Linked DNA regions of Arabidopsis thaliana. The protein of the gene in region 3 purifies or fractionates together with the protein of the main gene of each other region. This does not show direct contact. Each region holds a gene or a part of one and is shown on either strand. Other genes may lie near its edges. The genes, in order: AT3G53580, AT1G12230, UFD1 and GSH1.

The links.
Region 1: the proteins of UFD1 (region 3) and AT3G53580 fractionate together in Arabidopsis thaliana (co-fractionation; one large-scale study listed by BioGRID). This does not show direct contact.
Region 2: the proteins of UFD1 (region 3) and AT1G12230 fractionate together in Arabidopsis thaliana (co-fractionation; one large-scale study listed by BioGRID). This does not show direct contact.
Region 4: the proteins of UFD1 (region 3) and GSH1 fractionate together in Arabidopsis thaliana (co-fractionation; one large-scale study listed by BioGRID). This does not show direct contact.

Annotation. Positions count from the first base shown.
Region 1 is NC_003074.8:19,862,757-19,867,657, reverse strand, and holds AT3G53580 (diaminopimelate epimerase family protein), read right to left. Parts: upstream 3,028-4,901; 5' UTR 2,875-3,027; coding exon 2,599-2,874; intron 2,493-2,598; coding exon 2,325-2,492; intron 2,248-2,324; coding exon 2,177-2,247; intron 2,077-2,176; coding exon 2,019-2,076; intron 1,916-2,018; coding exon 1,736-1,915; intron 1,648-1,735; coding exon 1,563-1,647; intron 1,441-1,562; coding exon 1,381-1,440; intron 1,280-1,380; coding exon 1,206-1,279; intron 868-1,205; coding exon 751-867; 3' UTR 524-750; downstream 1-523. Other genes in the region: AT3G53590 (LRR receptor-like Serine/Threonine-kinase), read left to right, coding at 1-279; FC1 (serine/threonine-protein kinase AFC1), read left to right, coding at 3,533-3,700, 3,852-4,026, 4,129-4,155, 4,283-4,436, 4,520-4,568, 4,681-4,795.
Region 2 is NC_003070.9:4,146,118-4,151,579, forward strand, and holds AT1G12230 (Aldolase superfamily protein), read left to right. Parts: upstream 1-1,844; 5' UTR 1,845-1,932; coding exon 1,933-1,986; intron 1,987-2,076; coding exon 2,077-2,218; intron 2,219-2,621; coding exon 2,622-2,700; intron 2,701-2,792; coding exon 2,793-2,858; intron 2,859-2,962; coding exon 2,963-3,038; intron 3,039-3,132; coding exon 3,133-3,216; intron 3,217-3,309; coding exon 3,310-3,414; intron 3,415-3,503; coding exon 3,504-3,584; intron 3,585-3,659; coding exon 3,660-3,724; intron 3,725-3,818; coding exon 3,819-3,888; intron 3,889-3,961; coding exon 3,962-4,137; intron 4,138-4,221; coding exon 4,222-4,360; intron 4,361-4,444; coding exon 4,445-4,591; 3' UTR 4,592-4,939; downstream 4,940-5,462. Other genes in the region: RPS5 (Disease resistance protein (CC-NBS-LRR class) family), read left to right, coding at 1-1,563.
Region 3 is NC_003071.7:9,106,018-9,110,780, forward strand, and holds UFD1 (ubiquitin fusion degradation 1), read left to right. Parts: upstream 1-1,548; 5' UTR 1,549-1,823; coding exon 1,824-1,839; exon of another isoform or gene 1,840-2,061; coding exon 2,062-2,111; intron 2,112-2,220; coding exon 2,221-2,298; intron 2,299-2,464; coding exon 2,465-2,489; intron 2,490-2,574; coding exon 2,575-2,607; intron 2,608-2,698; coding exon 2,699-2,820; intron 2,821-2,913; coding exon 2,914-3,044; intron 3,045-3,233; coding exon 3,234-3,454; intron 3,455-3,548; coding exon 3,549-3,796; intron 3,797-3,896; coding exon 3,897-3,995; 3' UTR 3,996-4,244; downstream 4,245-4,763. Other genes in the region: AT2G21260 (NAD(P)-linked oxidoreductase superfamily protein), read right to left, coding at 1-206, 289-421, 572-689, 774-868, 1,159-1,291; SULA (NAD(P)-binding Rossmann-fold superfamily protein), read right to left, coding at 4,485-4,726.
Region 4 is NC_003075.7:12,101,681-12,109,530, reverse strand, and holds GSH1 (glutamate-cysteine ligase), read left to right. Parts: upstream 1-1,835; 5' UTR 1,836-2,406; intron 2,407-2,765; 5' UTR 2,766-2,779; coding exon 2,780-3,105; intron 3,106-3,275; coding exon 3,276-3,426; intron 3,427-3,595; coding exon 3,596-3,703; intron 3,704-3,780; coding exon 3,781-3,873; intron 3,874-4,052; coding exon 4,053-4,136; intron 4,137-4,255; coding exon 4,256-4,324; intron 4,325-4,414; coding exon 4,415-4,485; intron 4,486-4,569; coding exon 4,570-4,638; intron 4,639-4,892; coding exon 4,893-4,986; intron 4,987-5,112; coding exon 5,113-5,202; intron 5,203-5,293; coding exon 5,294-5,374; intron 5,375-5,468; coding exon 5,469-5,561; intron 5,562-5,647; coding exon 5,648-5,728; coding exon of another isoform or gene 5,729-5,752; exon of another isoform or gene 5,753-5,826; coding exon 5,827-5,896; intron 5,897-5,984; coding exon 5,985-6,073; 3' UTR 6,074-6,170; exon of another isoform or gene 6,171-6,432; intron 6,433-7,223; 3' UTR 7,224-7,396; downstream 7,397-7,850.

The DNA.
Region 1 (4,901 bases), on a different chromosome or scaffold from region 3:
CGGATGGGACAATGTTCGCCCGATAAAGTGAAGAAGTTGGCGGAATTAGCTTTATGGTGTTGTGAAGATAGACCAGAGACGAGACCACCAATGTCAAAAGTGGTGAAAGAACTTGAAGGTATTTGCCAATCTGTGCGAGAACCCGAAATGTTCTCAGAAACAACGAAATTACTCTGCTCCAAAACATCGCCGTCATCTTCTTCTGTACCCTCGCCATTGTCTTTACTTCCTGGAAGTAACTTGGACAGTGGCTTTTTCCACGCTGTAAAACCTCGTTGACAAATATTTGTGTGAGATAGGCTAACATCAGACTAATGAGAGTTGTGTTATTATACTTAGGAGATATTATGATACCAGTTATGTTGTCCTGATTCCTAACCATATAAGCTAATATCTATGCAGATATGGAAGCTAACCAATCTTATCATGTACATATGCGGTTTTGTATTCTCTCAAGTTTCATTTCTCTTGTCATTATGTGCAACCACGGCCATTGACAATGTCTGGTCTGGTGGAGAATCAGTGTAGAAGAGAGCTATATTCCGAGGAAAAGAAGATTTAAATTATGAACATAGATGCAGCAACAAATCAAAAGGTTTGGATACTCTGAAAACAATAAAAGTACATAAACAAAATCCATGAAACACAATCTAGCAGGACAGGTAAGAGCTTCACACGTTTGAATTAGAACACACAGACCCCAAAAGAACAACAACAGAGAGAGGAGAAGTCATCGACTGTGAAGGCCCATTAGAGCAGCGCTGATCCATAGAAAACAGCTTCTGCAGGACCCGTCATGTAGATATGGTTGTCTTCCTGTTTCCACTCTATCTCCAATGGTCCGCCCGGTAGATCCACCGTGCATTTCTGTTCCACCATAAACCAATACATATATGAGGAACTCAAGGTCACCACATGCAGCTAATCTCAGCTCATGACAATCTTTAAGCTCCAATGAATATCCAAGAAACATTTGTGTGAGAGTGAAGAACCAAAAAAAACGAATACAAGATTCTCCCACAAGAGACGAAGCGAACGAAAAGTACTTAGTAAAATCATAATCTCATCAATCGTCTACCAATCAAATCATCCAACCATTCAATGCAACATTCAGGTTTCATAAAAAATGCTTAAAAACTGCTAATCCAGTGTACCATTTTGCAAACTGTTATCTAGTTTTTTAAGTTCTGAAATTCCAAACTTACCCTGTCGGCTCGACCTTCAAGGACTGCTGCAACAACCAGAGCACAAGCTCCAGTTCCACAGGCCAAAGTTGCTCCTGCAGTTTTAAGTATGCGTAAGCATTAAGCATATAAGGATACAGAGACTGTTTATAATCAACTGAGAATTATATTCGAAGATTGGGGGGAATTTGCGGACCTGCTCCGCGCTCCCACACACGCATTTTCAAATGAGAACGTGATAAGACCTCAACAAATTCTGCGGATACACAGAAAGAACTGTAAGACAACTAAAGGGATATAAATCCAAATATAAGCGAGAAGTCTTGCTGTATCAGTCAATGGAAATCTGGATACATCTGCCGATGAATCTCCACTAACCTGTGTTAGTTCGAGCTGGGAACATTTCATGATGCTCGAACTTTGGACCAATCTCTGGTAAGTTCAAATCATCAACTTTCAGATTCTGGTTGACACAAACCAAAATTACAAATGATAAGAAATTCACGTGTAGACAAATAATATGATTAGAAGTCTAGTAACGAAACACGCACCGGTCCACCCTTTTTACCAAATGTGATACAGTGAGGATTGCCCATACTAACACACGTCACATTCCAGCTTACTCCATCAACAACTAGCTCTGCCTCAACAACAGCTTCACCTTTGTTCCCTGACAATTTCGTGGGCACATCTTGTGCTTTAAGAATCGGTGTCCCCATGTCAACCTTAACCTGTACCAATATCAATCACAAAAAATAAAAATCCAAACTTTACCTTACCCATCATCATGAATACGACTAAACCTAATATGAGACATCAATCCAAATGATCTACCTGTCCGTCATCTTGAATTTCTGGAACAATCAACCCGGCACCGGTATGTATTGTAAAACTACAAAAACAAATAAATAGACACTTAAGGTTACATCAAGCTTGACTAAACTCGGAACTCTCAAGTCTAAACAGATATTTCTCAATACAGATAGAGATACCTATGTTTTCCCTGCAAATTCTCAAGCTCAGCAATGAACCTAGCAAAGCATCGAACTCCATTGCCACACATCTACAAGAACAAAATCAAAAGCCAATGACTTCGAGCGCAACAACATATCACCAGACATTATCATCGAAAAGCCCCACCTCTGGTTCACTACCATCTGAATTGAAAATCCGCATTGCGTAATCAGTACCATTGACTCCTGGCATTGCAAAAATCACTCCATCGGCACCAACACCGAAGTTTCGATCACACAGCTTCGCCGCCTGTTCTTGAGTAATCTTAGGTTCCGATGAGTCTCTGTTATCGACCTACAAAATCCAATTCCAAAGACGAAAAATTTGAAAACATTTGTAAGAATTCGATACATTTCGGGTTAAATTACCAAATTGAGAATTCAACGGTGAACAAAAGTACCAAAATGAAGTCATTGCCGAGGCCATGGTATTTCACAAAGTGAAGAACTCCGGTTTCTTTTTTGTCTAGAAAACTCGCCGGAGAAAATTTCTCAGCTGTGACGGCGTCCATGGAAGCTGCTGCAGACACACGAAGGCTAGGGCTCTTAAAGCAATATTCTTTCTCAAAGAAACCAAACGAAAGAGAAGATACGGATCCTAGATTCCTGGAGAACGCATTCGACACTCTGCGCGATTGTGGCGCGACGGAGACAGTGCTAACGGCGGCTATCTCCATGGCTGCTTCAGATTATTTTTCTTGTTCAACGACTCTCCCGTCTCCTCCATATTAAAAGACTTTGGAGAAAACACCCCATTGTTCTGATATTAAATAACTGAACTCCACGTCGTTTTTATCCTCAACAGTAATAACATCATGTCGTTTCTTTAGTCAACATATATTTAATAAAGGCCTGACTAAAAAAGCCCATTAAGAACTTCCAGAGCCTCTGTCGCTCCTTCGCTGTTCTCTTCCTCAGGTTCTCTCTCTCTCTCTCATTTCAGTCTCTTTCGCTGTTAAATATTTTCTCCTGAGATTTTTTTCTTCAATTCCAATTCAGTGAGCATTTTTATTGTTTCTCCGATCTGAATTCCGGCGATCAAATTACGACAGCGACTAATTCAACGTTTTAAATTACTCTGTGTGAGAGAAATTTGCGGTTAGTTTATTAGCTACATTACTTCCACTTTTTTTAATATATTTTTCTGTTACTTTTCCCACCTTTTTTAGTTATCTTCTGGAGATAGATCCCCCCCAAATTGAAGATAACTAGGGTTTCGAATTTCGGAATCTTATTATCCCTCTAATTAGATTCGAAATTCAATCGCAATTCTCTCGCTGTTCATAATCTGGGTTTCTGAATTTCAGCTCTGGATTTGCATTTTTCTAATCCTTTATGCAAAGCAGTGTGTATCGTGATAAAGCTAGCTCGATCGCGATGATCTTAGAAACTCAGAGGAATGTTGAATTCCCTCATCGGATCGTTGATAAGCGTCCCAGGAAACGTCCCCGATTGACTTGGGATGCTGCTCCGCCTCTTCTTCCTCCTCCTCCTCCACCCACGGTAACGAATTGTCCACATATTGTATTGGTATCAATGGACTGTTCTTTTGTTGTTTTCATAAGATACTGCGAATTGTGTTAACTAGTAAGAAATTAAGATTTTTATTTGTGTGCTTGAGCTAAGTTTCAGCTGATGTGTTTTTTTCTTTCAGGTATTTCAACCTCCGTTGTACTATGGTCCGGAGTTTGCGAGTGGTTTAGTTCCCAATTTTGTTTACCCAAACATGTTCTATAATGGCCTTCCTCGTCAGGGCTCTCCTCCCTGGAGACCAGATGATAAAGACGGCCATTATGTCTTTGTTGTTGGGGATACTTTGACTCCACGATGTGAGTCTTATGTTACAGAGTCTTTCGACATCTTATCTGTTACGTTTCACAGACTTTATCATGGAGGTTTACATTGACATGCCTCTTCTATTGTGCGTGCAGATCAAATTCTCAGCAAAATGGGTGAAGGTTAGTCATCTCTTGCGAAAATGTTTATATAATCATTATGATTAGATTATTCTGTTTTTCAAAGTGTAGGAGAAATATGTTTATTTGGTCGCCAGTTATCTTAATCAATTGGATTGTATTTTGGCAGGTACATTTGGACAAGTATTGGAATGCTTTGATAATAAAAACAAAGAAGTCGTGGCAATCAAAGTTATACGGTCCATAAACAAGTATCGTGAAGCTGCCATGATCGAAATTGACGTGCTGCAGAGGCTTACAAGGCATGATGTCGGTGGTTCTCGGTAAGAATATTTCTTTCCTCTTACTATTTCTTCGCTAGTTTTAATTTTATTACATTTGGTATAAGCTTTTCAATTCCTTGCAGTTGTGTGCAAATACGGAATTGGTTTGACTATCGTAATCATATTTGTATTGTAAGTGCTGTTACCTTTATTTGACAAGTTTGAGGGGAAAATGCAATTTCTTCACGCCCAAATGTTATGTGAGTTAAAAGAACTTGCGCATGGGTTTAAATGGTTTCAACAGGTATTTGAGAAGCTTGGACCAAGCTTATATGATTTTCTCCGCAAAAACAGCTACCGTTCATTTCCCATTGATCTTGTTCGGGAGCTTGGCAGACAACTTTTGGAGTCTGTTGCATGTGTGTGGAATATTCTTGACCCATTCTTCTATATAGTAGTCCATTAGTGCCACAAATCATTTTTCTTAACTTTTTGATACAAGACTTAGGCGTTAATAGTTATTAC
Region 2 (5,462 bases), on a different chromosome or scaffold from region 3:
GAATGGTGTCATGCCATTGACGTTTTAACATCATCTGCCATAGATTTTTCAGGTATGGAAGATGAAATTCTCCATGTTTTGAAGTATAGCTATGATAATTTAAATGGGGAGCTGATGAAATCCTGCTTCCTCTATTGCTCTCTGTTTCCTGAAGACTATCTTATTGATAAAGAGGGGTTGGTAGACTACTGGATAAGTGAGGGATTCATAAATGAAAAAGAAGGCAGAGAGAGGAATATTAACCAAGGTTATGAGATAATTGGTACCCTTGTCCGTGCATGTTTGTTGTTGGAGGAAGAAAGGAACAAATCAAACGTGAAAATGCATGATGTGGTTCGTGAGATGGCTCTATGGATATCATCCGATCTTGGGAAGCAAAAGGAGAAATGTATTGTGCGAGCTGGTGTTGGGTTACGTGAAGTACCAAAAGTCAAGGATTGGAACACTGTGAGAAAGATTTCTTTGATGAATAATGAGATTGAAGAGATATTTGACAGTCACGAGTGTGCTGCACTTACAACTCTATTTCTCCAAAAGAACGACGTGGTAAAGATCTCGGCTGAATTCTTTCGATGTATGCCTCATCTGGTGGTTTTAGATCTATCAGAGAATCAGAGTCTTAATGAATTACCAGAAGAAATATCAGAGCTGGCCTCTTTGAGATATTTCAACTTGTCATATACATGTATACATCAACTACCCGTTGGTTTATGGACATTGAAAAAGCTAATACATCTGAATCTCGAACACATGAGCAGTCTTGGGAGTATATTAGGGATATCAAATTTGTGGAATTTGAGGACATTGGGACTACGAGATTCCAGACTGTTGCTAGATATGAGTTTAGTGAAGGAGCTGCAGCTCTTAGAACATCTAGAAGTTATAACCCTAGATATATCATCAAGTTTGGTTGCAGAGCCATTGTTATGCTCTCAAAGGTTGGTGGAATGTATAAAAGAGGTAGATTTTAAGTACCTTAAGGAAGAATCAGTGAGAGTATTGACTTTGCCAACCATGGGTAATCTCCGCAAGCTCGGGATAAAAAGATGTGGAATGAGGGAGATAAAGATAGAGAGGACAACTTCATCATCGTCTCGGAACAAAAGTCCCACAACTCCATGCTTCTCAAACCTCTCCAGAGTCTTTATAGCTAAATGCCATGGTCTTAAGGATTTGACGTGGCTTTTGTTTGCTCCTAATCTTACTTTTCTTGAAGTTGGGTTCTCAAAGGAAGTAGAGGATATAATTAGTGAAGAGAAAGCTGAGGAGCATTCAGCTACGATTGTTCCTTTTAGGAAATTGGAGACACTACACCTGTTTGAATTACGCGGGCTCAAGAGAATCTATGCAAAGGCTCTGCATTTTCCGTGTCTGAAAGTTATCCACGTAGAAAAATGTGAAAAGCTGAGAAAGCTTCCATTGGATTCTAAAAGTGGGATCGCGGGTGAAGAACTTGTCATATATTATGGAGAGAGAGAATGGATAGAAAGGGTTGAATGGGAGGACCAAGCAACTCAACTCCGTTTCTTACCTTCATCCAGGTGGCGGTGGAGAGAAACATAATGAACTTCACTTTCTTCTACAAACTTTTGTTGTCATGGTCTAAAGACATTTGCCGGTGTGTAAATCTCTTCCTTGTCTCTTCTTGTTTGCATAACCGTTCTCATCGTTCTTTTGGTTAGTGATCATTGGATTTGTACTTATCTCTTTCTCTAAACGATGAGTGTTTGTTTCGGCTTCATAGAAACATTACACAGAGACTCATGAGAAAATGAATAAAAACTTGCAAGTTCCTAACCATTGTAATAAAATAATAATTAACTGTCTTATCTCGTTGACAGTTTTCGGATAAATTAGAAAAGGCGGGACCCACGTTAATTGGAAGATATCAACGGCTGGATCTGCTTACTCAGATCAACTTCAGCGAAAAAAATGCCACTCTCGTTGCAATCTCCGCCTTGTGCAACTCTCTCTGCTTCAATCCGAGTACTCTCCTCTTCGCTTACTTCTTTCAATCGCATGTATTTGTGCATTGTTTGTTTTTTATCTAATGGATGCGAGCTTTGAACTTCGCAGAAGGGACGATGGAAGACGCTCGCCGCCGGATTCTCCGTTACTCCTCTTCCCGCCGTTAACTTCAGTCTTCGGCGATCGATTCCTCGGATTCTTGCTTCCGCTAGTTCCTCCTCCTCTCCTGCGTCTTCGTCTCTCGAAGCTGGTATTTGTTTATATCTTTGATGATCGTGTTTCTCATTAATTAATAAATACGATTTCTGGAAAGACAAAACAAAAGTATGGGTTTTTGAAAGATTGACTACGATTCAAGCTTTCTTTTTATGTGGGTTTGTTTTTATACTGTCTTGAGTCACTTGTTAGGAAACTATGCTTGACAAAGTTGCTATTTTTGGTTTACCTTTCTTAGTTCAGGACCTTCTGGTTGCTTTAGTTCTTAGCTGAACAGTGTTGATTTATGGTTGAATTTGAAGAAACAAATTGTGTATTTGGTGTTTAACATTGTTCTTGGATGATATCGGTTTTCCTAAAGTTCTCAACTTTATTTCTTCTGGAATGCTTTTAGATGATCATTGAGTTGTTTGATGAAATTGTGTTTTTTTTTTCAGGTGAGAACAATGAGCTAAATGCTGTTTCAGCTTTTAGTGAGATTGTTCCTGATACTGTCGTTTTCGATGACTTTGAGAGGTATGATATATATCTCTACTTCATGAGACTTTAGTTACACTGGTATATCATAAAAATGGAGTCAGACATTCTTAACTTGAGATTGTACTGAGTTTTTCTCTGGATCGAGGATACAAGAAAGAAATTAGCTTAAGATGTAAAAACTCACTCCCTCACAAGTATAACTTCTAACCTTTAGTTATTGTGAAAACCAGATAGTATAACCTTTTGGTTTTCTAATTGTGCTGGATTGATACCTTTGTTGTATTTTACTGATCTGCAGGTTTCCGCCGACTGCAGCTACTGTTAGCTCTGCTCTTCTTCTGGGTATCTGTGGTCTACCTGATACCATTTTCCGCGTAAGCATTTCAAGAGTTTTGATTCTTAGATGATAGTATATGACATCTCTTGTTTTGGGCTCATTTAATTTTGACATTTTTACATCATGATTAGAATGCTGTGGACATGGCTTTGGCGGATTCTTCTTGTGCAGGGCTTGAAACCACAGAATCTCGACTCTCTTGCTTTTTCAATAAGGTTGATCTTCTTATCCCTTATCTGTTTTTCCACTTCCAGATCTTTGCTGCTTAAAAGCTTTTTTTGCCCTTATTACTGATGAGAAAAGTGCAGGCTATTGTCAACGTAGGTGGCGATCTTGTCAAACTCGTTCCAGGTCGAGTTTCTACTGAAGTGGATGCACGTCTTGCTTATGACACAAATGGCATTATCCGCAAGGTAGTTACTACACCATATATATAAGATAATTTGATTATATGTCTCCTGTATCTTCAAATCACTAACTTGTGATGTGATGATGTGTGTAGGTTCATGATCTGCTGAGACTATACAATGAAATCGATGTACCACACGACCGGCTCCTATTCAAAATCCCTGCAACTTGGCAAGTAAGATTATTTTCAGCAAATACCAAAGCTTTACCTTTTACTGGTCTCTTAGTATTGTGCTTATCCCTCTCATAGGGTATTGAAGCTGCAAGATTGTTGGAATCAGAGGGAATCCAAACGCATATGACCTTTGTTTACAGGTACCATAAAACATACCTTTTGACTCTTTTATTTTAGAATTGTCTATCCATCTGATTTGTTTACTTTATAATTTCGTTTTGCATTCATCAACAGCTTTGCACAAGCTGCAGCAGCTTCTCAAGCCGGTGCTTCTGTCATTCAGATTTTCGTCGGTCGCCTCAGGGTAACCATTTTTTAAACAGATGCTGCTAAGTGATTTCAGTGATATGCCAAAGTTAATATCTTAAAATCATTAGGATTGGGCGCGTAATCATTCGGGAGATACCGAGATTGAATCTGCTATTAAATCGGGAGAAGATCCTGGTTTGGCCTTGGTCAAAAGATCATATAACTACATTCACAAGTATGGTTACAAGTCCAAGCTGATGGCTGCTGCTGTCCGGAACAAACAAGACTTGTTCAGTCTTCTCGGGTAAACTCAAACTTCCAAATCATAGCTTCGACCATCAATGGATTCTGATCACATTCTAACTTTCAATGTTCTCTTCAATCTCAGGGTCGATTATGTCATTGCACCATTAAAGGTACTGCAATCTCTTAAAGATTCACCCGCCATTCCCGATGATGAAAAATACTCATTTGTTCGGAAACTTACTCCTGAAACTGCAACACATTACCACTTCACCAACAAAGAGGTTAGTTCTGAAGCTAACCAACACTCATTTGCTTCTGGTTTCACTAAACCAGTGTCTCACCCTGTTTGTTTGATTCTGGTTTAGCTGGTCAAATGGGACCAGCTAAGCTTGGCTTCATCTATGGGTCCTGCATCAGTGGAGCTTTTATCAGCCGGTGTTGAAGGTTATGCGAACCAAGCGAAACGTGTTGAAGAGCTTTTCGGGAAGATTTGGCCACCTCCTAATGTCTAAATACACAGCTTTTCTCTTCATCAATAAGGATCTGTATCAATAAGAGAACTAAGTGTCCATGTTACTTGAACACTACCCTGTTTATCTTCCTGCCCTCTTTATCTTTTTCGTGGCTTGTTGTTCATCATGTCTGAGACTTGGGCTACAAGATAAGAGACTTTAGTTTTAAGACTAAAAGTCTAAAACCAAATCCTTTTCATGTTGTTTCGTCTGAACTTCGGTCTTTTTTTCTCTGTAATTGACTTAGTCGGTTCTCAGATCTCTGAGTCATGATTGTACCGATAAACCAAAATTGAACCGATTGTTTTTGTAAAACCAATCGGGTTCTATTAAAGTTCAAACTAAACTAAAAATTTAACTATGGACTGAAAATAAATAAAAAAATTCTTAGACAAAAAAAAGTTGGACATAGGCCAAACACTGTTTGTTTGACAAATTCTAAGATAAATGATAAAAAGATGAGTTTTTTTAGGGCGAGAAAGACGGTTTAAATCCAAAAAAAAAATTGGGAATTTATGTGTACCAAATGATAAATATCATGAAGACAATGAAGAGGATCAACATAAACTTATCAATCTCAGTCAGATGCATTATCTGATGTCTAGTCACTTCTCTATCCACCTTCTTTAATGTCATTTAGTAATTTTCACACAAGCAGAAACGTACCATGTTATAAATCTTATCTTCTAATGTTTACAAATTCGTACGTCTTACATTTAGTTGTTGACAAAAAAAAAAGATAATTGAAATTTAGTTCAATCATTTTTTTCCTGTGTGATTGCGTTTTTCCTTTGACGACATGTTGTTTGTGATTAATTATTGTGGGTTCATACCAATAATTATGAAATACCTAGATTATTTTTTAAAATAT
Region 3 (4,763 bases):
CATCCAGACATGACACGGTGCCAAACCATTCGGCATTGGCTGTGGCACCTCCCAGAGGAGTATGAGCAGTGACACAGATACCATGTTTCTGGCAGAATTTGACTAGAGAATCGCGTTGGAAGTAAGGATGTGTCTCGATCTGATTCACAGCAGGTTTGATCTTGGAGTAAGCCAAGCAATCTCTCGTTAGAAAGACATCATAGTTACTGCAAAAAACCTAATGGTCAAATAATTCATATATTGGCGACTAAACAAGAGAACTTGTAATGATAGTGAGAGAAGTTGAACCTGATTCCAATGCTGCGGACTAAACCCATAGAAACAAGCTTTTCCATGTCGTGCCATGTAGTTTCCAGAGAGATTGTTGTATCTATGTCCAATACCCCATCATCCCCCAAAGCACTATCGGTTGTTCCTATTCCTGCACAAGGCTTACATGTTACAGCTTATTACTCTGTGTGCCAATTGCTAGAGACTTGAGAAAACTTAATTTTCCAGCCAGTAACAAGGCTGAAATGCAATGGTCTCTACTCGAAACTGATAATATTCATGAACAAGGCTGAAGCCTAACCCGTGTGTTTTGTAGCTATGGGTATATGAACGAGGAAAAGGTCGAGGTAATCAAGTTGAAGTTTCTTGAGACTGTCTTTGCATGCCTCAATAACATGGCCATGGTCTGAACTCCATAGCTGCAAAACCAAGACAGAGAGCATTCGATCTGAAATGAACTGATATCAAAGGTATGTAGTAGTTTAACTTAAAGCCGTTTGGACCTTAGTCGTAATGAAGAGATCCTCCCTCTTGACAAGACCTGTCGTGAATGCTTCTGTAAGAGCCTCACCAACTTCAGCTTCGTTCTTATAATTAGCTGAACCAAGTAACCCCAAAAGATACTCATAAATCAGGATACAGAACAAAGCAACTCACTCACATGCAAAGAAACAAAAACAATTGTCTGTGATACAGCAAAGACTTAAGATCATTCTACGATTCCAAATTTCCAAATACTTAAAAACCCAAATCTTAAGACATAATTTCCAAGTAAGATTCCAACTTTCAACAAATTAAAACAAAACCTAATATTTTATTCACATATCCTGACAAACCCGAAGCAACAAAGATCAGAAAGAAAAGGTTTTAAGCAGTGTTAAGTTATACCAGCACAGTCGAGATGACGATAACCGATCTTGATGGCATCGATGATAAGGTCTCGAAGCTCTTCTTTCTCCATTCTCCAAACTCCTAAGCCGATGATCGGCATTTTGAAGCCACTGTTCAGTGTAATCTCCATTTCTTCTTCTTGCTTCTCTCCTCAATCCGTGATTGGGTAGATATCTGCTCAGAATTGAGAGTTTCCCAGTATGGTAAGTTGGTAACGCACACGTCAATATAAAGTGGTCATGATTCCTCACTATTCGAGGCCCAATGGGCTAGTACCGTTTTTTGTGAAGCCCAAACTGTTTTACAAAGACATGAATCAATACGCACCGTATGGGTATATATATATACAAGCAACGTTATCACAGGTCCTCAAAGTTTGCATCTTTACTTGGGTTGTGTCTGGAATCAATTACTTCCTAAAGGTAATTTTATTGGTCGGGCAGCTCAATCGGTGGTTTCTGAGTTCTTATTCTTCTCTGATAATCTCAAGACGAGCTTTTAATTTTGTAAAGTTTTTAGCTTTGGTATTGTTTGTATCGATCCCACTCTCAACTTTTGATCGGAATCTTCTGTTCTGGGGATTTCCGGTGAATTGTTTAGGAATAGGTTTCCAAGGATCTTACTTGGGTTTGTTTCAAAAGGTGGGATTTTGCAAGTTGTAGATGGTTCTTCGATTTTGTAGGTTTCTATTCTTCTGCTGAGATTCGAAATTGAGGTCTTAGGTTTTTGATAATAGCTTGTTTAGTTATCTGTTAAAGTCACTAACTTTGATGTTCCTTCCGGTCGGAATTGTTGGCCACAATTGATTATTGAAACCCTTAAATTAAAGAGTGCCCTCTTTTTCTCTTTTATGATTTGGATCTCTTGTAATTGACTTGTGTGAGGTTTCTTTTTCTGTAGGTTGCCATTTGTTAACTTACTCTGTTAGTCTACTACCACCAATAACTATGGTAAGTGTATTCAAAGCTTTCCTTTTTAACCGTTAGTCTTCACTCTAGCTTTTATATCTCGCACCCTTGGTTTGTTTGTCTAAACCTTTGGAATTTAAACTCGATGCAGTTTTTCGATGGATACCATTATCATGGAACAACCTTTGAGCAGAGTTACCGGTGTTATCCGGCATCTTTTATCGACAAGGTTTGATTTCATCTCTCTACTTTTAGTTTAATTCCCTGATAAGTGAATCTGAGAGTGCTCTTTTGTAATGTTAGAATCTTAGTCGTTGTCATGTTCTACTAAGTAAGTTCTATAAGAAAGCTGAGATCTAGTATCTAATTTCTATTTCCTTTTCTCTTCCCTGCAGCCACAACTTGAAAGTGGTGACAAGAGTAAGTCTTCTATCTAGACACCAATGTTTGTTTCCATCTGTATTGTTCAAGCCTGAGGTTTTAATTTGTGTTAATTCTATTTCAGTTATAATGCCACCATCAGCCCTTGATCGTCTAGGTATGCTCCTACTGGTTTTCTCTTTTGGATTTGGTCTAATATTTGTTTAACTTAGAAACATATCAAATCGCTAATATTGGGGACTTTACAGCCTCTTTGCATATTGACTATCCGATGCTGTTTGAGCTTCGTAATGCTGGAATTGAACGTGTTACACACTGTGGAGTCCTTGAGTTCATTGCAGAAGAAGGCATGATTTACATGCCATATTGGGTAAGAATCAGTTTCCTCTTTGTTTGTGAATCGAAGTACTCTGGATCATGTGGACTTACCAGACTGATTGTTTGCTTCTTTGATATAATCCAGATGATGCAGAATCTGCTGCTGCAAGAAGGAGACATTGTGAGAGTTAGAAATGTCACTCTTCCAAAGGGAACTTACGTTAAACTACAGCCCCACACAACAGACTTCCTGGATATATCCAACCCGAAAGCCATGTGAGTCCGACTTATTTCTACCCTCTTGTATTTGAGCCCTCATATACTTTCCCACATCATGTTGTTTATTGCTTAGAGAATGTATTATTATATCTAAGTTCTTCCCGTTTTCTGGCTCGTAGTTGTTTGATGTCACTCTTTTTATCTTGTTCCCAATATTCTTTACTGATAATTGAGTGAACGTTGCAGCTTGGAGACTGCTTTGAGAAATTATTCATGCCTAACTAGTGGGGATAGCATTATGGTTCCATACAACAATAAGAAGTACTTCATAGATATAGTTGAAACAAAGCCTGCTAACGCAATCAGCATCATAGAAACAGACTGTGAGGTTGATTTCGCACCTCCCCTCGATTACAAGGAGCCTGAACGTCCCACAGCACCTTCTGCAGCTAAGGGTCCGGCAAAAGGTATCTATCCATGGACATGAAATCATCAGATGGACTTACTATCAGCTTCAAGTTGTTAGATTCTCATGTGTTCTTTTCTTTCCAAATTTCACAGCTGAGGAGGTTGTGGATGAACCTGAACCAAAGTTCAACCCTTTCACCGGATCTGGAAGACGGTTAGATGGGAGACCTCTTGCCTATGAGCCAGCGCCAGCCTCTAGCTCAAAAGGCAAACAACCTGTTGTCGCTAATGGTAATGGACAGTCATCTGTAGCAAGTAGCTCAGAGAAAGCTACACGAGCTCAGGGAAAGCTTGTATTTGGGGCTAACGGAAACCGTGCTCCAAAAGAAGCTGCTCCGAAAGTACGCATTCAGAGTTTATTGATAATTGACAAAACAAAAACTGTAATGGAATTGAGAGACAAATGCATATGATTGTTCATCTCTTAATTTTTTTTTTCAGGTTGGAGCTGCAAAAGAGACAAAGAAAGAGGAACAAGAGAAGAAAGACGAGCCCAAGTTTCAAGCTTTCTCTGGGAAGAAGTATTCATTGAGGGGTTGATCAACTCACACAATGGGTCTACTCAGTCTATTTATGACCTCTCATGTTGTGTACTAAAAATACAAGGAAAACAAATAAGTGAATAAATCTCTGGCTCCTCTTGACGCGGCTTGTTTTCTTTATCAGATTCAATGCAACTTTCTACAATTCTCTGCTCTTTTATATTCTTACTGTAGGATATAAGATTCTGAGCACCTCACTAACATAATGTGTTCATGAATAGCAAGCCATGCTCTGTAGCTCTTTACCAATGAACCAATGACCAAAGAACATAGATGAGAAAGATGCTATGTCTGAGTTATAATATCCTCAACACATCTGTGATCTCTGGTTTCTGAGATAACACCGAAAACACTTTTTACCATAAATACATTTCTCGAGTTTTACTCAAAAAGAAAGATATAGAGACGAAAAGAAAAGAATATCTTGTTTTTCTGGGGATTTTCTGTGATCAAAACCAATTTTACAAAGATGCTTATGTGTGTCACCTTATTGCATAATGGCTCTGAGTGCATCCTTCACGTATTTATACTTGAATTCAAAACCAAGCTCTTTGGCTCTTACAGGTAATACCTTCTGTCCCTCCAGAACTACAGTGGCACCTTCTCCGAGCAAAGCTTTGAGTGCAAAGTCAGGAACTGGTAGCCACGATGGTCGGCTAAGAACACTGCCTAGCTGCTGGCACATTTCCCCAAGCCTAACCGGATTCGGCGCAGTCCCATTAATAACTCCTGCCAACAACCAGCACCAATAGCATTATGCTTCCCT
Region 4 (7,850 bases), on a different chromosome or scaffold from region 3:
TATTTTCTAGCTTGTTTTCTAGAAAGAAGTGACCCTGGTCTATACGACCTCCTTAGTCAATCCATGCAAATCATAACGTCCCCATCTCGATGTCTACCAATTTAACGTTTCCTTTTTAATTTGTTAGATATGCCCGTTTTATTTTGACTTGCTCAAACTGTATAGGGCCATCACGAGCTAAACTGATGTGACTTGGGCCTGGTGAGAGTCATGAAGCTCCGGAATGTTGTAGCTCGATGTTACCTATATAAGCTTTCTTTATGGGCCTTGAATAGGCCGAGTTCAAATGTGAGAATCCAACACCAACAGCCACTTAGAACAACTTTTCAAGATTGTGTATCATCTACCTCTTCGGCCATATTAAGAATATGTGTAGTTGGGCTTCGGTGAGACTTATGAGTTGGGCTTGCCATGACAATCCCAGATGTTACTTTTCTCTTAATCCCTAGGAAGAAAATCTTTTGGTAACTTCAAATCATTATAAGCGCAAATAGCTAGCTACTATGTCTGATGCATTTAGTTACTTTGTGCTGAGGATTGGGGTCTTTAATGTGAAATCGAAAGTTTAGGGTTTCTCGTGGATATTAGAAAACGTTAAGGTTGGAATATAAAGGAAAAGATTAACTGAAAGAGTCTGCATAGCACACTCCAGCTTAATTCCGTATCGTTTTAGGATTTCTGACTTCACTCTTTGACGGCTATATATTAATGTGATTTTCCATTATGTCAAATGTTAATTATTATTTTTTAGATAAGTTTTCGTGAAAGTTGAAACGGTGTGACTTGTGAGTGACGAATGTATAGGAAGAAACTGTGGAGGTGGGTTCCGTTTAAGGCTTTGGTGGTGTGGAGATTAGAAGTCATGGCCGCCATTTTTGAGTCACGCACGTGTCCACCTACCTTACCTTCTTATAACTTATTCATTCATGTGTTCGATAAAATATATTTGATATTAATTTAAACATACAACATAGAAGTGCACAATTACAAGAGTTTTTTTTGTTTTTCTATTTTTGTCGCTACAAGAGTTTTTAGTTTTTACTTACGTTACGTATATGCAAACGCAAGCAATTCTGCATCTATTTGTTTTTCAATGGCAGCCATAATTGATATCAAATAAATAAATTACTAATGCCACATGTTTTTTTAGCACAGCTTCATAATTCATAGGAGTATCGATATGTAACACAATAATGGATCTTGTAGTAAAATTTGAATAGAGTCAATTAAAAAAAAAAAAAAAGATAGAGTCAATCTGTGCGATATAATGAAATTAGAACGAAGCTCGAATTTTAAGATTTTAAATTATAACAAAACTCAAATGTGTTATAACATTCAAAAAAAAAAAAAAAAAAAAACTTAACACAATAATTAGTTTTTCTCATTTTGAGAAAACCAAATTCTCGAAAGTATGTGAAAAATACCATGGAATTTGAAGGATTTTGTAGATTACCAAATAGTAAACAAAATTTCTAAACTTGTTTTACTATGATTTTGTCACGAATACAAAATCAAACTCAGATAGAGAAATTAGGTGATATATAGCCATAATTGTGTTTACTACTAAAAATACAGTTATTTCTAAAAATAAGGTAAATGACCACCATGGTACCATACTATTCCATGAACAATATAGACAAATAGCCTTCCATTGTTATAATTGGGATATTGTCAAATCCATCCCGTATCTATATATATTATTATACACAAGTAGAACTTTTGATGGTGATTCATTATCTACCATTCACATGTTTTTGTATCATTAAATTGTTGATTATAAAAGCAGGATTTGATTCCACCTACTAAGAAGTAGGAAATATAAAAACATAACGCCAATTTTCGTTCATCAGAACCAAGATTTTTTTGTCGACACAATCAAACCAAATAGATAATGATACTGTTTTTTATAGTAGTATATATATTTCTTTTCCTATAGAGTATTTTATCTGAGGTCATGTGGTTGGTTAGTGACACACTTTTCATTATTTTACGTTCTAAATTAAATATCGTAAAGTTAAACCTCGTTTAAAGTATACTATAAAGAATAGAAATATCATTAATTCATTATACACACTATAAAGTTAACCTTTGTTTAAACTACTAATAAACTGGTTATTTAAAAAACTATTAGGGTTAAATTTGTGAGAAATGGAAAAGTAAGAGGCAAAAAACGAAAGAATCTTTTATTACAATGATTATTAATTTTATCAACTTTCTTTTATAGACAGCTCAGCTCCACTGATCGGCTCATGCTCCACTGATCAACTTTCTTTCATTTTTTTATCAGTTTCTCATTTCTCTCTCAGTCGCATATAAATTTGAAACGCCGATTCGTTTTTGCTCTTTAAGCTTTCTTCTTGATTTCGACGGTGTCTCTCAATCTCCGTCAAGCTTGACGAATTTCAGGTGTGATTTGCTTCTCTTCTTCTTCGCTTTCTGGACTTGTGGATTTTGGTTTTTGATTGATTTGTTCTGCTTTTTTTTTTTTGGTTGAATCTTCGCTTTTTCTCATGATTTTTTTTTGGCTGTTGCATGATTTTGGTTTTGTTAGAGTCGAATTTTTGCAGATTTTTGCTTTGATTTGATTTTTGTTGTTGTTGTTGTTTCTGGTTTGGTGATACACGAATTTTGATTTGTTCTTCCAGATGATAGTTCAATTCTGTGGTAGCTGCTGATTCTAATTATGTGATATATGTTATTAGAATTGAGAAAAATGCAGTTATTTGTGATTTCTCATAGCTTATGATGAATTGTTATAATTGCAGGAGCTATATATACCATGGCGCTCTTGTCTCAAGCAGGAGGATCATACACTGTTGTTCCTTCTGGAGTTTGTTCAAAGGCTGGAACTAAAGCTGTTGTTTCGGGTGGCGTGAGGAATTTGGATGTTTTGAGGATGAAAGAAGCTTTTGGTAGCTCCTACTCTAGGAGTCTATCTACCAAATCAATGCTTCTCCATTCTGTTAAGAGGAGTAAGAGAGGGCATCAATTGATTGTTGCGGCAAGTCCTCCAACGGAAGAGGCTGTAGTTGCAACTGAGCCGTTGACGAGAGAGGATCTCATTGCCTATCTTGCCTCTGGATGCAAAACAAAGGACAAATATAGGTACAGTTTGATGCTTATATGTTCTGTTAAAATGCTACTTAGTGTTTGTAATTGTGACATATTTCTTTGTTTGTGCTCTTTTACGGTGTTGGTATTGTTTGAATTCATCCAGATTGTTTGTCTATTGGAGAAATATTCTGTTTTGCTAACTTAACATTGTGAGTTTTCAGAATAGGTACAGAACATGAGAAATTTGGTTTTGAGGTCAATACTTTGCGCCCTATGAAGTATGATCAAATAGCCGAGCTTCTTAATGGTATCGCTGAAAGATTTGAATGGGAAAAAGTAATGGAAGGTGACAAGATCATTGGTCTGAAGCAGGTTAACATTCTCCTGTGTTTCATCTTTTGAGCCGTTTATTATTTATATACATTTTCAGCCTGTAGAACATGTTAGCTTCATATACAACACAATGATCGGTATATTATAAGGTTTCAGTCTTTTTTTTTTTTTTGCTGTAGATAACTCGTTCTGTCCTTTTGTTGACCAGGGAAAGCAAAGCATTTCACTTGAACCTGGGGGTCAGTTCGAGCTTAGTGGTGCACCTCTTGAGACTTTGCATCAAACTTGTGCTGAAGTCAATTCACATCTTTATCAGGTAATTTCAAAGATAATTATTGCCAATGCTCTCACCCTAAAACGTGACAAATAACCAACTATCTACGGATGTCACAGGTAAAAGCAGTTGCTGAGGAAATGGGAATTGGTTTCTTAGGAATTGGCTTCCAGCCCAAATGGCGTCGGGAGGATATACCCATCATGCCAAAGGTATGACGCTTTCTCTATTCTTAAGATTGAAGAAAGTTAACATCTGTTTGTTTCTAATTCAGATAATATTATCTGATTCTACATAGCCAACGTTCGGATTATTTCTTGGTGTTTGTGTTAAGTTTTCCTATGACGAGTCAGGCAGTAAGATTTGACATAGTGTAATGTGTTCTGTGCAGGGGAGATACGACATTATGAGAAACTACATGCCGAAAGTTGGTACCCTTGGTCTTGATATGATGCTCCGAACGTGTACTGTTCAGGTTAGATTAATATTCTGACTTTGCGCCTTTTCATAATTTCCTTAAACTAAACTTTCCAGTTCTCATCAATAATCTTATTTTGAAACTTATAGAAACTGCATTACTTGCAATCTTGACAGGTTAATCTGGATTTTAGCTCAGAAGCTGATATGATCAGGAAGTTTCGTGCTGGTCTTGCTTTACAACCTGTGAGAAGCTCGATCTCTTTGTGGCATAACCAGAAACTTTTATTAACGATTTTGACTAACCATTGCCTCACTATTATCTAAATTCAACAGATAGCAACGGCTCTATTTGCGAATTCCCCTTTTACAGAAGGAAAGCCAAACGGATTTCTCAGCATGAGAAGGTATCTAGATTCAGTTGTTATGATCCCCGATATCTTTTTGAATTAGTTTCCCTCCCACCTTATAACTCTGGTATGTTTTGACAGCCACATATGGACAGACACTGACAAGGACCGCACAGGAATGCTACCATTTGTTTTCGATGACTCTTTTGGGTGAGTATCGATGTTTAATCTATGAAAAACAATTACATTACATTGGTTGGTTTGGTATGAGAAGCTTCTCAAAAACCAATGACTCTGTCTCGCATTCTTGATGAGTTATTGGAAAATTGATATGTGCTATTCTGTGGATTTTCTTACATATGTTTGTGTTCAAGATAGAAAGATGCTTTGGATCTTTATCCTTCTCTTGAAACAGCATGGCTAATCTTAATTTTATTGCTCTCTTTTGTTCTTATCTGGTATAGGTTTGAGCAGTATGTTGACTACGCACTCGATGTCCCTATGTACTTTGCCTACAGAAAGAACAAATACATCGACTGTACTGGAATGACATTTCGGGTCAAAATCTATCCTTAATCTTTTCTGTTAGGTTCTATAACTGTTTCATTGCAAGGAATTGGCAAATTGAAAACCATGGGATCTTCTTGAATTATATCTAATCTCATAATATTCTTCATGCTGCAGCAATTCTTGGCTGGAAAACTTCCCTGTCTCCCTGGTGAACTGCCTTCATATAATGATTGGGAAAACCATCTGACAACAATATTCCCAGAGGTTAATCATCTGCCTCAAGAGTCTTTCAATCAGCCTATGACTTTCATTTCCCTGTCTTATGTTGAAGTCTGACAACGTTCCATAACACTAGGTTCGGTTGAAGAGATACTTGGAGATGAGAGGTGCTGATGGAGGTCCCTGGAGGAGGCTGTGTGCCCTGCCAGCTTTCTGGGTAACTACATCTATTAGCACATATATATTTCGTGCTTAATGAGAATGTTTCAAAAAGTATTGACTGTTGTTTTGATTTTATCTACAAATTTCAGGTGGGTTTATTATATGATGATGATAGTCTCCAAGCTATCCTGGATCTGACAGCTGACTGGACTCCAGCAGAGAGAGAGATGCTAAGGAACAAAGTAATAACAAGACGCACCACATTTACATTTTCTTATTCCACAGTTAGAAAACATCTTGTAATAAACTAATACTTGATTTCCAACAGGTCCCAGTTACTGGCTTAAAGACTCCTTTTAGGGATGGTTTGTTAAAGCATGTCGCTGAAGATGTCCTGAAACTCGCAAAGGTGTGTTTGTATGAACCCTCTTAGAAACTTCGAGCCAGCTTTCTATCCCGTCTGGTCCAGCTTCTAACTATTGGACTTATTTTCTCTTTGTTTCTCAGGATGGTTTAGAGCGCAGAGGCTACAAGGAAGCCGGTTTCTTGAACGCAGTCGATGAAGTGGTCAGAACAGGTAAATGAAGTTTCCTAATGCATAATTGAATTCCACACCGACATTTTGTTTGATAACCTGGTGGTGAAATTTGGTTTTGAAATGACAGGAGTTACGCCTGCGGAGAAGCTCTTGGAGATGTACAATGGAGAATGGGGACAAAGCGTAGATCCCGTGTTCGAAGAGCTGCTGTACTAAGAAAATGGGACGTGAACAAAAGGTGTCTATAAACCTTTGGGTGTGAGTTTATGCTATCTGAAGAATTCGAGTCTCCGGAATAAGGATTTTTTTTTTTGTTGTAATCGGATTTTAAAAACTGATTTTGTTTTAGAAATTCGAAGCATTGAAAAGCAGAAGAAAAATTGTATGTACTAAACGATTTCGGTGTGGGAAATCGTTTGGGAGGGTGTGTTTGGATCTTGAATAAATTACCCATTTTTCTTGTCACAAATTTGTCTACATTTAACGAAATAACTCAAAACTGATTTCAAGGCAAAGGCGACGGATGGGATAATCTAGGCTGTGTAGTGGAAAGTTTTGATGTTTAGTAATTTGGCAATGTATGTTTTTTTCTAAATGGGAGAGCATCTTCGATGTAGACATTTACGAGCTTTTCCTTTAATAGGTTTTGGCTAGTGAAGAACACTGCTTTCATAATTGAATCCACCAGACTCCGCGTAAACTAAACTGATTACAACACGATGATCCTGGCCGTCGGTAATTATCGTAAAACAAGAAGATAGTGGCACTTAGGTGACAGGATAATATGTAAACCCTACCAAGGCGTCCCTACAAAATGATGAGTGATGACTGATGAGAGTGAGAAAAACCGAGTCTCCACAGTCCACACACTGCCTTACCTAATTAATATACCCACCTTTCATTCATGTATGTTACGTCAACGTTTTTATGTCCGTTAAAACTGTAATCTACATAAGAGATCATAATTTTTAAAATCTCCATGTATTTCGTTGATACTTTAATTTGGCACGTTTCTAGTTTTTGAGATCAAATGTTTTTAATCTGCTTCTAGTCTTATTTTTCCTAAACCTTAAACTGTAAACCAATTGCTTTTTCACATAACCTTGCTTGTTTTCAATTTTAAAATTTAAGTCCAATATTTGAAACAACCTAACAAATGTCGTCTATGGCAACCAAAAAAAAATAAAAAATCAAAACAATTTGCTAAAAAGGAAATTGATTAAAATTGATTTCTTTCATTTAAATTGGAATTTAATATATTAGGTAAACATGTAAACGCAATCGCAATTTTTATGAGAGACTTCGGGCCGGTTCGTTTAAGTGTCGCTGCGACTATAACTAGCGACTGGCTTTAAAAACGACTGAGTTTTGTTTGTTTTTATTGTTTTTTTTTTAAGTTCGAATATGTCGTATAGATCTGTAAAATAATTCAAATGTGGCTTTGTCCCATAGATTGGTTTTGATTATGCAATCATCTATCACAACAGTGGAACATTATGCAATCATTTATTGTCTATCAAATTAATTATGGTTATGAAATATGAAGGATCTTACATCTTAAAAAGTGTTAATTATGATCGCATGCCATTTAGATTCTTTCAAAAATTCAGTTTGAAAGTGGAAAGCGCGCCAAAATTTGCAGAAATCAAAAATCCGTTAAAAAACGTTACCAAAAAAATATTTTAAAACGGGCCAAAATATTTCAAATGTGGATTCCATAGATTGGTTTTGATTATGCAATCATGTATTACAACAGTGGGTTGAAATCACTTCTCCTACCTGATCATTAGCTTCAAAAGTGCCTTGGCTACAGTAATAGGATTTTTCATGTATATGAAAATATTAGTTCAAATGGGAGACAATCTTTTGAATTGGTATAGAGGTTGTCAGGTTGATCAATGATTCAGGGGAAGAGTGATGACAAATACTAAGAAATGATCCAGGAGGTTGTCATCCGTTTTCCTATTAATAGAATTGGATAAAAACTTATTTG